Mytilus edulis: one gene and its partner. The protein of the gene in region 2 purifies or fractionates together with the protein of the main gene of each other region. This does not show direct contact. Links are inferred from orthologs where the notes say so. Each region holds a gene or a part of one and is shown on either strand. Other genes may lie near its edges.

What was found. The genes of interacting proteins can lie anywhere in the genome.
Region 1: the proteins of protein patched homolog 1-like (region 2) and sonic hedgehog protein-like purify together in Drosophila melanogaster (affinity purification with western blotting; 3 studies listed by BioGRID). This does not show direct contact. The link is inferred for Mytilus edulis from reciprocal best matches to the Drosophila melanogaster genes ptc and hh.

Annotation. Positions count from the first base shown.
Region 1 is NC_092345.1:55,468,382-55,475,910, forward strand, and holds the start of sonic hedgehog protein-like, read right to left. Parts: upstream 3,046-7,529; 5' UTR 2,994-3,045; intron 1-2,993.
Region 2 is NC_092344.1:121,132,138-121,140,152, reverse strand, and holds the start of protein patched homolog 1-like, read left to right. Parts: upstream 1-5,011; 5' UTR 5,012-5,303; coding exon 5,304-5,405; intron 5,406-5,830; coding exon 5,831-6,023; intron 6,024-8,015. UniProt on the Drosophila melanogaster protein: Segmentation polarity protein. Acts as a receptor for the hedgehog protein (hh). Associates with the smoothened protein (SMO) to transduce the hedgehog signal leading to the activation of wingless, decapentaplegic and patched itself.

The DNA.
Region 1 (7,529 bases), on a different chromosome or scaffold from region 2:
TGATTTGTTGAAATAACTTTTAACAAGAATAACACAATAACATACATGAATATCCATAAATTTTGTAAGCAAATTGTTGTCATTCATCATTGGTTTTAAAAAAAAATCTGTTTATAAAAAAGTCTTTTTTTATAAGTTAAAAGAAGTTACATACGTCGCATTCTTTGATAATAATAAAATATAAGCAATAATTTACTTAAAAACGAAGTTTAATTCAACCTTAAAAACAGCGCGAACTTTAAATTCAACCTTAAAAACAGCAAAACACAAAGACACTGCAATAACCATACCATATATTAGCGGATATCGTGTAGCAACCTACCTAGAAAGTATGTCATTTTTTTCTATTAAGATTTATCTAAAAAAAAAAAAACTCATTACCAGACGTACGTTTTGTTTACATACCGATACGACGACATTTTATTGGCGCTAGAATTAAAAAAAAGTTGGAAGGCTCAATACAACACGAAGTTGAAGAATATAAAAAACAAAAAATATGTACCAAATACGGATAGATCATCTACGTCTGAGGGTAGAAAAACCTCAGTGTTTCGAATTTGATTCAAAGTTTTATTAGAAGCATTGATACTTATGCGCGAGTGATTTCCTCGGGATGAACCTTATGTCCTCCAGCAGTGGCATCGATTTATGAATTGGATAGAAGAGAAGTATGGTTGAGTTTATGACTTGCATTAATGGATTCATACAGTCCAATCTTCCGAACATAGTATGCAACATATGCATGTACAAAAAAAAGCAAAATATCAGCTTAAGAAATGGGTAGAGCATTATAGGTAAAGAAACATATTAAGTATTAATAAGTTAGTTTCACAATGCAAAACAAAGCACTGTACTAAATAAATTTGTCGGTTCGGGCAGCTGCTGTATATTTACCGGTTCAAAACCCAATTTAATATGCAGAAATTATTGAATTCCTACTTAAATATATATAAGAAGATGTGGTATGAGTGCCAATATGACAAATCTCCATCCCAGTCATAATTTGTAAAATTAAGCAATTATAGGGTAACGTACGGTCTTCAAAATATGCTAAGAAGTGGCTTTTGTGCGACTCTATTACTAGTATTAATGTAACGTCGCGAATCCTTAACTTCTAAATTTAAGTTTGATATACCATACAATACCCTGAAATAATTTATAGTAATTTATCATTAATGACATTAAGTGGACGTCAATGCGGAACAGTTGTGTAACAATATGATTAGGTATGCTACTTAGGTAGTTACTGAATCGCACATGAAAGGGTGAATCATTACATACTTATATTTCATTTTAATCTAAAAATGTAATTCATACCTGGCAATCAAGATGTTGCATTTGCAATACTTTCATTCAAAAAAAGTCGTGGAAATAGTAGAACCTTAACAAAATAATTAATACCGCAAAACAATACAACTGTTATTGATGGAATAAGATTTAACATTATATTTCTCTGTATCATTCTGACTTAAATTTAAACAACTGCCTTTAAAGCTAACGAGATAAATATAAAATTGTAAGATTGGAACCGACAAACTATTACAGAAGAGGGGAGAAAGATACCAGAGGGACAGTCAAACACATAGATCGAAAATAAACTGATAACGCAATGGCTAAAAAAGAAAAAGACAAACAGACAAGTATAAGTACACAAGACACACCATAGAAAACTAAGGACTTAGCGGCACGAACCCCACCAACTAAAGGGGGTGATCTCAGGTGCTCCGGAACACGATTGTTAGGTTTATCATTTACTGTTAAAGAAACCAAATGAACTTAAAATACTGTCCAAATTCAAATACATCATCAGAATATCCATCAATTATATGCTATTGAGTTATCGCGCTTGGTTCAACCAAATAGTTCCACGAAGCTAGAATGAACAATTTTATATCGAATAACACTATGATCTAGAACTATCTTTTTATCAATTTGTTTTTAAATCATAACTTGTTTGCATAAAAAAGGAGGAGTTGCTTGATTGCCAATTAGATAACTACCCACGACAATTCAAATGAAGTGGATGTAAGCATTTATAGTATAGGCAACGTATGGTCTTCATCAACGAGAAACCATATTTCATAGGCTTTTGACGGGTGATTATTGGTATCCATGAAGGTGTGGACGTTTTGTATCTGAGATAATCACAAACCCAGAAGTCACCATGTTTTTGTTGACATGAAACACCATTGAAGTGTTCATTTTTTTGTAAATGTACAATGTACAATTCACTAGTAATGTTGGGGCCCTTTATAGCTTGTTGTTCGGTGTAAGCCAAGGCTCCGTGTTGAAGGCCGTACATTGACCTATAATTTATTACTTTTATAAATTGTTATTTGGATGGAGAGTTGTCTCATTGACACTCACATCACATCTTCCTATATCAATGTATTCATTGTTGAACTATTCCAAACACTAAGGTTGTTTTACCACCAGGTAGATTGTGTAAGCTGTATTTGGCATAACGTTTCGGAATTCCATATATTAAAAGCTCTAAATCTCCGTATTATATATGGCCTACCATTTGTTTTAATGCGAGCGCCACTGAAAAGTCTGTAGTAGAAAACAAGCTCGTATAAATTACAAAATTATTAGCCTGGTTTTTTTATGTATGAATTACAAAATTATAAACCTGGTATCTTTGATGTATGAATTACAAAATTATAAACTTGGTATTTGATGTATAAATTACAAAATTATAAACCTGGTATCTTTGATGTATGAATTACAAAATTATAAACTTGGTATCTTTGATGTATGAATTACAAAATTATAAACCTGGTATCTTTGATTATTCTTTTCTGTGTTTCCAATTTATTTTTCTTGAAAATATTATGCCAATCATCATAGAAATAATTTCCATCAATTTAAAAAAAAAATATGCTACTGAGAAAAGAGAAATACATTGGATATTCTTTTTGTTTCCACAATTTGAACGATTTATTTTTGTAAACAATGTTTAAAAAAAATATCCTAATAAAAAATCAACTTACTTTAATGAAAATATTACAATCCAGTCCGTACAAAATCAAGTAATATAAAGGTAAATGTTTCAATTGACAGGTATAGCCTTACGTAAAGTGCGAACGGAAAGATACAGATAGATTACACTGATCACGCTACTGTTTACACTCTACAGAAACTTAAGATGACCTCAACAGAACACCAAGGATGTCAAAATTATTGTATTTGATCTTTAAGGGGGGGGGGGGGTGGATTAAAGTCAGAAATATGGCAGTTGTTATACATTCGTTTGATGTGGTTGAGCTTTTGATTTTGCCATTTGATGAGGGACTTTCCTATGTGCAATTTCCTCGGAATTTTTTTTTTTTTTTTAATACTTTTTAAATCCTTAACCGAATATAAATATATGACTTATCTCTTTTATTCCCTGTATTTATTTTCTTTAAAAAGTATAATCCTGCAAGAAAGAGCAACAAAGTTTTCAAAAATCGACATTAAAGAAAATAGTTGTATGCATATGAATTGTAGAGTCAGTCATACTAAATTTATAAAATATCATTCCAGTTTCTCTAGGTCTGATAAAAAAGGAGATATTTCTGCTGATAATGGATAAGAAAAGTATAACAGTTGTTTTCCAGTCTTTGTATGTGTTTGATTTTGCCACTTTAAAAAGGACATTCCGATTGGAATTTTGTTTGGAGGTCGGTATATTTGTTATTTTACTTTTTACAAAAGGGTATTTTGCAATGGAATGTATGATTGATACCTTCTACTTCAATCATACAGTTTTGTTGAATTCTGGATAACAAAAAGACAAAGATACAATTTAAACTTCAGCGAAAACCTGTACAACTTGCGGAGTGAAAGAAGGACATACAAAAGGGAGAAGACAATAAAATACATATAAAAAAGCTGAGTCTATGAAAGATGAAAAAAGTAGTTGCCAAAAGAAAGCACCACATAAAAACAAAAGATTGAACAGGACAAACCCAATATAAGACGGGTATATCTAAGGTATGTCAATAGAGAACAGCAGTTCCAGCTTTTCTGGCTGACAGTGCTACATTGTTTCAGGAAAGGAACCATGTCACAGATTCTGGTCAAATTTTGCATTCAACTTTGGCCAGTTGAACTACAATTAAATTCGAAAACAATAATGCATTTATCTCTTTTATTTATACAAATATTCCTGAATGATTTGTATAGAAAGGCCTTAAATATACTCATCATAGATTCCCGGATTGAAATTTAGTATTTGCGCTAGACGTGCGTTTCGTCTACAAAAGACTCATCAGTGACACCCCAATAACAAAAAGTTAAAAAGGCCAAAAAAAGTACGAAGTTGAGCATTGAGGACCAAATTAAAAAAAAATATTGACAAATACAAAGTATGTGTAAACTTATGCAAACACATATCTAAATCTGTGACTGGCCAATTTATTGTACCTTGACCATAAAATCTATCAATGTCACTAAGATCAATCTACTTAAGGTTAAGTAATTTGACTACTAGTATATGACTTTATTTAACTGATCATTTGTTTTTCTTACTAGTTAAAGGTAGACAACTCTGAAGTCAAATTGTACAATTCAAAAATAAAAATAACTCTTCAAAAATTCTTGTGTTTCTGACTTTATCCTCATCAGGGAAAGCTCATATCCCTGACTTTGAAAACCAAAGATGTATTTAAAGCTGATTATTGAAAGAGCTTTGTAACCAAAATGAGACAATTAAGAGAATTCAAATCCTTAAAAGGTAAAATTTGTCCGAGGGAGCAAGAATCTTCGTTTTTTTTAATGTCTTCTTAAGTTATCAACGGACAATTTAAGAAAAGTGTGGTAAATGTGACTAAAGTCAGAACATGCTTCATATATATCATTGAAAATAAATAATTCACAATCAGATAGAGTATTGATTATGACTAAGACTTCAAGTGTAGAATAGAAGATATGTCTAGGTGACCGTAGGTGACAAATTCTTTGTTTTCAGATGATCTCATACAATGTATAAAGTCAGCATTTAAATACCATAATATGATAAAATTCCAATTGTACCACATGTTAAGTTACAATGTCAACTACTAATGTCAATCACTACGTTGCAACTCCATCTTTGATAGACAATGATTTGATAAGTCACAGCATGTAATTCCATTATTACCCTCAATTACTGTCACGTGGGTGACAAAAACAATTTTGAGCCTAACAGGTTAAAAGCGGGTCATTTTCGTCTTAACCTTGTTTCGGTATTAAGACGTCTAACGTATATGTACTTGGTATCGATAATCATGAAATTGTTTCATGGTCAAATAAGAAGTTACGAAGCAAATTGTTAAATATCTTGTTGAAAGCTGTAGCTCGACGACTAATTACACTAATTTTATTATAAAACTACTATATATAAGTATATCATAAACTGAAAGCAAACAAATTCCAAATATCTGCAAAATTGCAACAGTATCTATAGCTATATAGATTATAATGTAAAAAAAACATTTATCCTATCATTGGAAAAAAGCATGAAACGTAATAAAAACTTTAGGTAATTATTAAAATAAGGCACAGATACACATTTCAAGTGATTGAAATCTTTGATATCTTCAAATGATTTGTGGTTAACATGGTTGAACATGATCTGTCTCTAGCATTCAATTATATCTGATTATCAATACCTTTTAGGATTTTTGCATACTACTGAAAAATGAACACTCCTATTTATCAAAAACTTTTGGATTTAATTCAAATTATTTTTTTAAAGTTTAAAATCTATTCACACGATTGAAACTTAGCACGCAACGGTTCCCATACAATCGTATATGTTTGTTCTATGAACACTTTTTCGGTAATGTTTACTTCGTGACGGTATTTTTTTCCATGTTATACCTCTAATTCTCCCGTTGCTTAATTACATCTTCGACCCTGTGCTTCTAGTATTGACCAGCAGTGGTTCACTTTAATATGGCTTGCATAAATTTTATGTATAAAAAAGAAGATGTGGTATGATTGCCAATGAGACAACTGTCCACAAGAGACCAAATTGACACAGAAATTAACAACTATAGGTCACCGTACGGCTTTCAACAATGAACAAAGCTCATATCGCATAGTCAGCTATAAAAAGCCCCAAAATAGCAATGTAAAACAATTCAAACGAGAAAACTAACGGCCTTTTTTATGTCACGTTATACAAGTGACAGGTTTAGCTAGCGATAAAACCGGGGTATAATCCACCATTCTCTACATTCGAAAATCCTGTACCAAGTCAGGAATACGACAGTTGTTATCTCTTGGTTTGATGTGTTTGTGCTTTGCCATTTGCTTATGGTCTTTCCTATAAGAATTTTCCTCGTAGTTCGGTATTTTTATTATTTTACTTTTTGCTCCCTCCTATTCGCTTTTTGAATCAGTGTTAGCAAATTTGACAAATGATATGTACCCCACTTTAAAACATTCCAAGATAAGTATTTATTGACGTCGTGCTAGTAAAAAAATCCGAATCAAAAATAGATTAATTTTATATAATTGTTAAACGAATCTCTTGTGTGATATTTCAGTCAATAAAGGTGGTGCACCAAACTGATTAAATTAATTAAAAGGCTATTAATAATCGTGTTAACTTAGTGAATGTGCAATTGTAAATAAATCTCTACCGTGTACACTGCCTTTAATGCATTGCTAATGCAGTCGGAGTTGTCAAGAAATAATATACCGTAAAATTGATGTTAAACGAGGCATTAGCTGGTAAATATCATTTTCATGATTTAATTTACTGTATATGATTCAATAGATTTTCCCCATCAATTTTCATTGTGCCATGTTGTGTGGTCTTTATTTTGTTGTTGTCGATTTCTGTCTGAAAACACATGTTCAGGTGCGATATTATAGTCTAAATGTTGAAAACAATATGATTTTTATGTCATCATTATCAATTTTTCAAACTATAGAATAACATATTCTTGTCGTTAAAAATTAGTTACGTTCGACATACCATATACAGTGAAAATCGCTTTAGCCGAACCTAACATGGATTGAAGATGTTTAAGATATGATTTTTAAGCAAGTTTATGTTTTCATAAAAAAATGAATAGGGGGCTTCGGTGGCCTAGTGGCATTCGACTATAATCTAAATTGATTAGGAGTTTCGGGCACTCTGGTTTCTTCCACCAAAGAAAAACTGACCGCCAAGAAGTAGCACAAAAGTGTTTAAATTGTCGTTAAACATCAATCAGTCAAATCAAGAAGTTATAAAGACATCTATTTAATGAGATATGTAGAAACAATCTTTTGAAATAAATTGAACAGTACTTGATTGTATAATCTAAGTATTTCATACTTATAAAGCAAGAAATAAAATTGAGAATGGAAATGGGGAATGTGTCAAAGCGACAACAACCCGACCATAGAGCAGCTAGACAACAGCTGAAGGCCACCAATCTTTACTTTTGGTTTGCTATTGTTTACTCTTTATAAACGGACTGTTTAAGTTTAAGCATGATTCCGATCTGTACGGATAAAAAAATATTTTCAAGACCTGCAGAACTAGTTAATATCAAACTCCTCTTTTA
Region 2 (8,015 bases):
ATTAGAAAAAGGTAAAAATAACAAAAATACCGGACTCCGAGGAAATGCAAAACGGAAAGGTCGGAATCAAATCCTTACATATCCTTGGATAGATAATCCAAAATGGTCAATTAGTCGAAAAGGCGTCGGTTTAAATTTCGAAGGGACGTCTTCAACGTTGGCACTACACACCGATGATTAAATAATTTCTTTATAAGCAGTCGGCACAAGTATAGTATTATGTTCGGAGATGCAAGTTCTTGAATAACAAAGCTCGGAGTTATACAGGCGCTGATGAAATGTTGCTGTATTGGGGAAAAAAATCATTAGGAAGCTAAAATCCCCCCTTTTGTCCTGAAGATTTGTTCTCAACTGACCTCGTTGTAGATTTCTAAATGTAATTAAAGATATGAGGCAGACTGAGTTTATATGGTATTCTTTATTTCAATTTCGATGGTACCGCATTCAAGTGCTTCTGTTGTTCCGTTGTTTCCTCTCATAGTTGATGCATTTCCCTCGTTTAAAACCCGGATTTGCTTTCTATCGATCGATTTATGTATTGAACAGCGGTTTATTACTGTATTATGTTTCCTTTTATGTATCGATGCATCCAACATAGGTATCAAACTTTGAGTTTTTAATTAGAAGACATCATGCAAAAAGTGAAGTAAAGGAATAATCTTAGCTCCTTTTTTCTATTCTTTCTATGAAGCTCGTGTATAAAGTCTGCTTCATATCAATTACACAAGTGGGCAAAAAACGAACACAGTTGGTTATCATACTGTCTTAAACTTCTATTATCAATATTGAAGTTTGGTATGGCAAAAGTGTACAGGGTACAGAAGTCAAATGTACTCCTTGGAGTCCGGTACATAAATAAGGCCGTTAGTTTTCTCGTTTGAGTTGTTTTACATTGTCATTTCGGGGCCTCCTATAGCTGACTATGCGGTATGGACTTTGCTCATTGTTGAAGGCCATACGGTGACCTATAGTTGTTAATTTCTGTGTCATTTTGGTTTCTTGTAGAGAGTTGTCTCATTGGCAATCATACCACATCTTTTTTATATCCTATAGATCTTGGAATTAGTATCAGCTTCTGATTGACACCTTCCCAGGGAGATGGTAGTTTCATAGTAATTTTAAAATCTGTCTTTAATTGATAAGTAAATTGATGTTGATAGTTTTGAAAGAGGTTTTGTGAAACAATTGGCAGATCAACAAATGTGACGTTGTATGAAGGACATGCATTTAATTTTGGCGTCCAGTATAGTGAAGGAGGATCCAGTTCTAGTACTATACAGTTGCGTTACCAAATATAGGTTGAGTCTGACAGTGAACACTGTTGTGACAATACATATATTGTAATCAAACAAGTGTTTTTTGTTTCGTCTCCATAACTCTGTTCCTTGTCCTTGACTCAGTATAAGGAGAACTTTTCATTTCTGAAAAAGATTGGCTGTAAAATTATCGAAAGCTAGGATTCATTAATGTTTTGGCTTTTTTCCCTTGGTTCATTGACCAACGGAACTTTCTCTATATGTAGTAAGACCTTGGTCCCATATATGTTCAGTGTTTAGTAATAATCAGTTCATTGGACATTTTCACATGTCATCTTTTTCCATTTTTTTTTTATTATCAGCTTTTTAATTTTGAACTTTCCGTTTCTATATTGCATGCCTGCAATAGGATAATTATCTCCCTGTTGAAACGATATTCCAGAGCTTTCATTTCTTAATATGATTTGTTTGATGGAGGATTGCTGTTAACCGATGGTCCCAAGTCAAGTGGTGAAGTTGAAGTTGAAGTATCTCATTGACAATTTCTAGGAAGCCATGACCAGTCGATTGGTTGTTATTGAAAAAAATTTTGTCTCTCTCTTGGCATACTTACAGTTTCCTTTGTTTGACAACACCTTCCTCAATTTAAAGTTGTATCGATAAGAGACTTAGTATGGCGTTCATTATCACTGGACTAGTATATATTTGTTGATTAACAGCTGAAGGACGCCTCCGGTGCGGGAATTTCTCGCTACATTGAAGACCTGTTGGTGACCCTCTGCTGTTGTTTTTTATTTGATCGGGTTGATGTCTCTTTGACACATTCCCCATTTCCATTCTCAATTTTATTATTTCTTTTTGACTTGGCCAAAACTTTTCAAGCGAATGTGAATGGATCTGCACCTTGCTTAACAAAATTATGTCGTAGCCTTGGTCGAGTATTTTAGAGATGGAGACACGAGTTCAATAACAAAATTGAAATTTATTTATTTCGGAGAAAATGTGTTGCGTTACAATATTGGTATCAGTAGTTGCAGATTTAGTGAAAATTATCATGGTTAAATGTTAAGAAATGTATATATTCTATCAATATGTTGAACGTTGAATCGTTGTGACACTAAATGGTCCACCTTCCTACGACAAAAACACTCTTTCAATGCTTAATTTCACAACTAGTTAATAAATAAAAAGTGCATACTACTTTATTGCAGATAATTCGATATCACCAATAAGTTGTTATATCAATGGAAGTTAACCGGGTTCAATACGGCTTTGGTACATGTTTATCGTCGAAAATCGTACGTTTTTCAACTTGTGGTAATGGATTGCTGTCTTGTCTCATTTCTATTTATTTGTCTTTACTCTATGCAATTACAGCACGATCTACTTGGATAACCTACATAGACCATTACCATCGACGATTCCTTTTAAGTTGCCTTCTGGTTTGTTGAATGCATGACACTTTTCTTTACCGCAAACTGCTATGGTGTACAATTTTTTGCTAATGAAACCCTACAACATAATCATTTCAGAGACTGATCTATTTGTTGCTATACACTTTTTCTAGACTTTGAAACTTATTTTGTTTCTGTAAAGTTAACAAAATATGGTACCCGTTGTGTGTAATCAATTCTTTAACTGTTTTCATCCCAGCTCTCTGAAACTGCAACAAGAGATTCCTAACATACTGAATATGTGCACCTGCAATGTGCATTCATTTGAGCTTTTTATCCAACCTTCGGAAATTGGATACGACTTGAATCCATTATCTTTCAAAGTTTTAGAAAAACACTAAGGACAATGGTAACAATGTTTGATTAAATCAACTTCATGGAAAGTGGTCATCTTTCACTACAGAAAAATCTTTGTCGGTTTGGACGGTTCAAAACCGGCTTTAGGTATGGTGATTTTTCGTGGTCTGTGGAAAGTATGTATCCAATTTGTGAAATCAAATCCTACAGCAATCAACCTATATATTCTTAAATGTGCACCTGCTATTATATTACTCTAATATATTGTTTGAGTAATGTTGTATCTCGTTTTTACACATTGGGAACTTTGACTTTTTCTGTAAAAATTACAGAAGACGGTTCAAGTTTAGTGTAATAAACTCCTATATAAAGGCAACAGTAGTATACCGCTAGTGTCCAATTCAAATTTCTAAAACTTCACAGGGAGATTATTTATATTTTGCAGGGTTCATCTGATATTATAGAATTGTTTGAGTAAATTATCTCATTTGACCAGCTTTTTTCAGCAATATTAATAAAAGAGGGTATATTTTTTGTGTAATCACCCGCTGCTACAGTTTTCAGCCCAGTTCACTGAAACATCTCCGGACGTTCATATGTGTTGGAAGTTGTACACCTGCAATAATGGAATTGTTTGAGTATTATTTTACTCATCATCCAGACTTTTTTAGAAAAAATTATGAAAAAGGAATAAGTTTTGTGTGTTATCAACTATAGTTTTCAATCCAAATCCTTGCATCTTTACAGGAAGATGGCACATATGTTGAAGGTGTGCACCTGATTTTACGGAATCGTCCGAGTGATTTTTCTCATTATTCCAGTAATTTTTTCAGGAAAAAATAAGTCACAAAAATATAGCAACCTTGTCATTTTACTTTTGTTCTTTTTACATTTTATGTAATATTGTTTTCATATATTTAAAAGAACAACTTAAGAATCATTCCTGGCAAAATGGCAAACCGGCAAAAATTTTTTAATCTTTGATTCATTTTAAAACTTAAGAGAAATTGAATTTTCGGAAGCCTCGATACAATTTACTTATCTTTTTTTCTCATTAGACTGAGATTTTGGGTTGTTGTCTCTCTTACGTTCATGTTGCATCTCCCTAAATCATATAACATTTTACATGCTTAAAACTTGTACCTTGATTTCAGTAGTGTTGAATTATTATTTAGTTATCCACTCTCTTTTACAGAAGCAAAAATCAGTTAGAAAGTGTTGAACATTTCTACCTTGCTTCAGTTGATTTTGGTTATCTTTTTTGTTTTCACTTGTGCTTTACCTTAATTTTCTTACAATTCCCATGTCCATAAAGAGCAAATATTTTAATAGCAAATAAAATAATTCACGTATTTACATTTGGAGATTTTCGTACAAGACCACTTCAGTTTTATACGGTCTTTTATAATCAATCTCTACAAAAACTAAGGGTTTGTTGTTTTCACGAGGTATTTAAAGATACGTCAGCGTGACAGCCCGCCCAGGTTGTACGGCAATACGACGTGTAATTTATTAGCATCTGTCATTTTAATTACATTAGTTTTAATGTAATATAGAAGGTCTCTGAATTAATTCGTAATATTGAACTAGAAGATCAACTGTAACACATTAGACAATTACACAATAGTTGATATGATTTGTAAAATTAAAAATAAAAATTCTGCCTTTTCATAAGAAATCTATTTGCTTTATATATCCGGTGGGCTTGATAATCACGATAATTCAGTAAGCAAAGATTTAGTTCATTAAACTACAAGTTTCTCTTTGTGTGACAAACTCACTGGCTTGTGACATTTGTAGTCGGTCTTACACAGCAATTAAGTACGGGATTCCTTCAGAAAATATGCCGTTTATTTAACGCTGTGGTAGTTCTCGCATCTTGTGTGGTCCGCGCACTGTGGTGAACTGTTGCTTAGCAACTAATGTAAGCTGCTGTTACTTGAGCAATCCTATTTAAATCTGGCCAATCCGATAACAGACAAACACGATATCATCTTGTCAGTCATTACGAGGAGGCGGAGCTTAACGCAAAATCGGGAGTCTTGAAGTTCGCAAAGAATGATATCGGATGTATGGAGCTTACAGTGTTTTGTTTGGATTTTATCTTCTATGAGGACTTCAGAATTATGAAGAAATTTTCTGATATAAAGATGTACTTACATGCATTTCAAACTGTGTGATAATAACATCGATGTTAATTAATAGTGTATAAACCGAACAACATTCCACGTGGGTTCGAATAGCATTCAAATGACATAGTTTATTTTGTGAATTCCCCCTTCAAAAACGGGAAATCATGAGTATTCGAAGGAGGGGCACTAATTCACAAATTGATGAGGATTTGTTAACGAGGACTAGTTTTGTGGATGCCAGGATAGCGTATAAACAAGTCAAAAAGGTATGTGAAGCGAGGCATCTCCATGACCTCATTTCTATCACAACTCTCTGTGAGTTCTTTTTCTGTAATAACATAACATGTTGTGTAGTTCATTAGTGGAGAAAAATTACATTTGTTAGAAGAAATTCCATGTATATTAAAACATTGTGAATTGATGTGTGTTTTAGCCTTAGGGTAATGTCATCTATTACAACATCACATAATAATGAAGTTAGATTTATCCATACTTTTTAGCATATTTTTTTGATGGCAAATAAGTCTAAGTTCCAGAATTTTAACTGTTATCTCATATGCATGTATGGTCCATATTTGTATGACAGAAAAATGCTTATCTTCATCCACTTTCAATATGTTTTTGTTTTCCCAATAGTTATAATTTGACCATCAATAAAGTGTACGTCTACATTTTCTTTTTGTATTTGCAGGGTAAAGCAGATGGGAATAAATGTGCGTTGTGGGTACGATGGCATCTGCAAAATTATATGTTCAGTATTGGTTGTTTCATACAATTACATTGTGGGAAAGTTTTGTTTATGGGATTACTATTGTTGTCGTTGTGTTGCATCGGATTCAAACTGGTCAAATTTGAAACTGATGTTGAAGCTCTTTGGGTAGAAGGTAAGTAATCGTGTTAAATGTGTATTTTCATCTTTATACATTCGTTAGGTATAATGTGAGGCAGTATATTCATTCACAAACAGCGCTTGAATTGATAAAAGCAAGTAAGCCGCCATCTTGTTTTGTGACCTAGAAATTTGATCTTGACTGTGTGTGGTCTCGTCTGTTATATTAGGAACGCTGAAATCATCAGAGATTGTTGACGGTTATAGTCGAACAATCGCACACTCACTGGTCATAAGTTTGATTATTCCCGCTCATTAAAGTCATTAGATTGGTTGTGATAAAATCGATAAACAAAGGACGTGATTACATCTACCTTGCAAATTATCAATATTCTCTAAACTGACTTTGGAGCATTTGTGTAATATCAGATTGGCACTCCTTTTTCAACAAGATTTGGTAACAAAAAAGTCAAATATTAATTACAAAAATAACAATAGTGCATTATCAGTTCATCTTAATCAGATATTTTGGTAACGAGATTACCGTTTTCTTGGGAGGTCTTCTGCATACGGGTTCTTAAGGCAAACCTCTAACCAAAGCAATTTTTCATGGGAAAACTGTACATCTAATTTTTGTATGCTTTAAACTTTATATTCTTACAATTTTTTTTTCTTGATTGAGCAATTTTAAAGTAATATCTGGAAATATAAAGAAAAATCTGAATGATATATTTACGTCACCTTTAGGGTCATACGTACTTTACTTAATAAAGTCCGAGATAGTGGTATGCTGAGAAAACAACTGGCTGTTTTAGAAAAGTTTTAAACAAATGCAGTTGGAAAGAAACTTTAATGTCATTCAGTATATTAAATTCCTGGTGGTCTATCACACATGGTTAAGAACATTTTAAGAGAATCTAAAAGGTAGTTTTATTTTTGTGTGTTTTATTCAATAGGGAAGAAGGACTGTCATTACCTTTTCAGTCTAAAACTGGTTTTGTTGTAAAACATTTAACAGCATGCAAAGAAAGATTTTTTGCTGATAGTAATATTTTACAACTGTTTTATGTTGAACACATCTTTCTAGTTAATAATAAAATCATAAAGCCAAAAGCATATAATAATTATATAGTAGTATACTTTGTAAACAACATATCCAGTGCATTATTTAGTGTTATACACAAAGTCTGTTCTTGCAATCTTTTTGATTAAAGTTTTGATGGCTTGGGCATGTGTGAGATATAAATTCTGCTTCAGTTGGAATACAAATATTTTTGTGTTATCATCTACAAATGAATTTTACACCAGAAATCAGAAATAACTTCAGAATTTCTTACATAATGTATCATCTGCAATAAAATTTCTGAATTAAAGCATATATTTTATTACGTTGGCTCATAGAGGAGTAGGTAAGAATTGTATGGTTTGAATGTTACATTTTATCAAAGGTATATTAATTATTTTAATTTACTCCAGGTTTCATTTATTTAATTAACTTTTTTTATTTTGCTAATAATTTGGGCGGATTAATTTAGCATGAATCCTTATTAGGTTTATATTGAAGTGTTTTTGTACTTCATTGTAGCTTTTTGTTATATGTATATGTAAATTGTAAATCTCATATTGAAAAGACATGAAATATTTGCTTCTAGACATTAATCCACCAACGATCAATCAATTAAAATGGAGATCAACCAGAAATTGGGGACATCTTTGAGCCAAAAATTTTAAATGTATGAATAAAAGAGTTTCTGTTGTGGTTTTGCATTTCCAGATTTGTTTTTTCTATCTCCCCTGTCAAGATCAGATAAAAAAGTGAAAGAAGGTTTTAAGATCATCTGAAGTGATATAAATAGTGAATGTTGTTTGACCTGGATTCCACTGATAATTTGACAATTTTAATTTGTGTGCTAGTATTTCACATGATGGAGGTTTTTTATGGCTGAATGAATCAAATACTTTGTATTCTACCTAGGTCATTGATAGTGTGACCAACTTTTGATAATGAATACCAATTTTCTTTCCAAGGGATGAAATCTTAACTTTA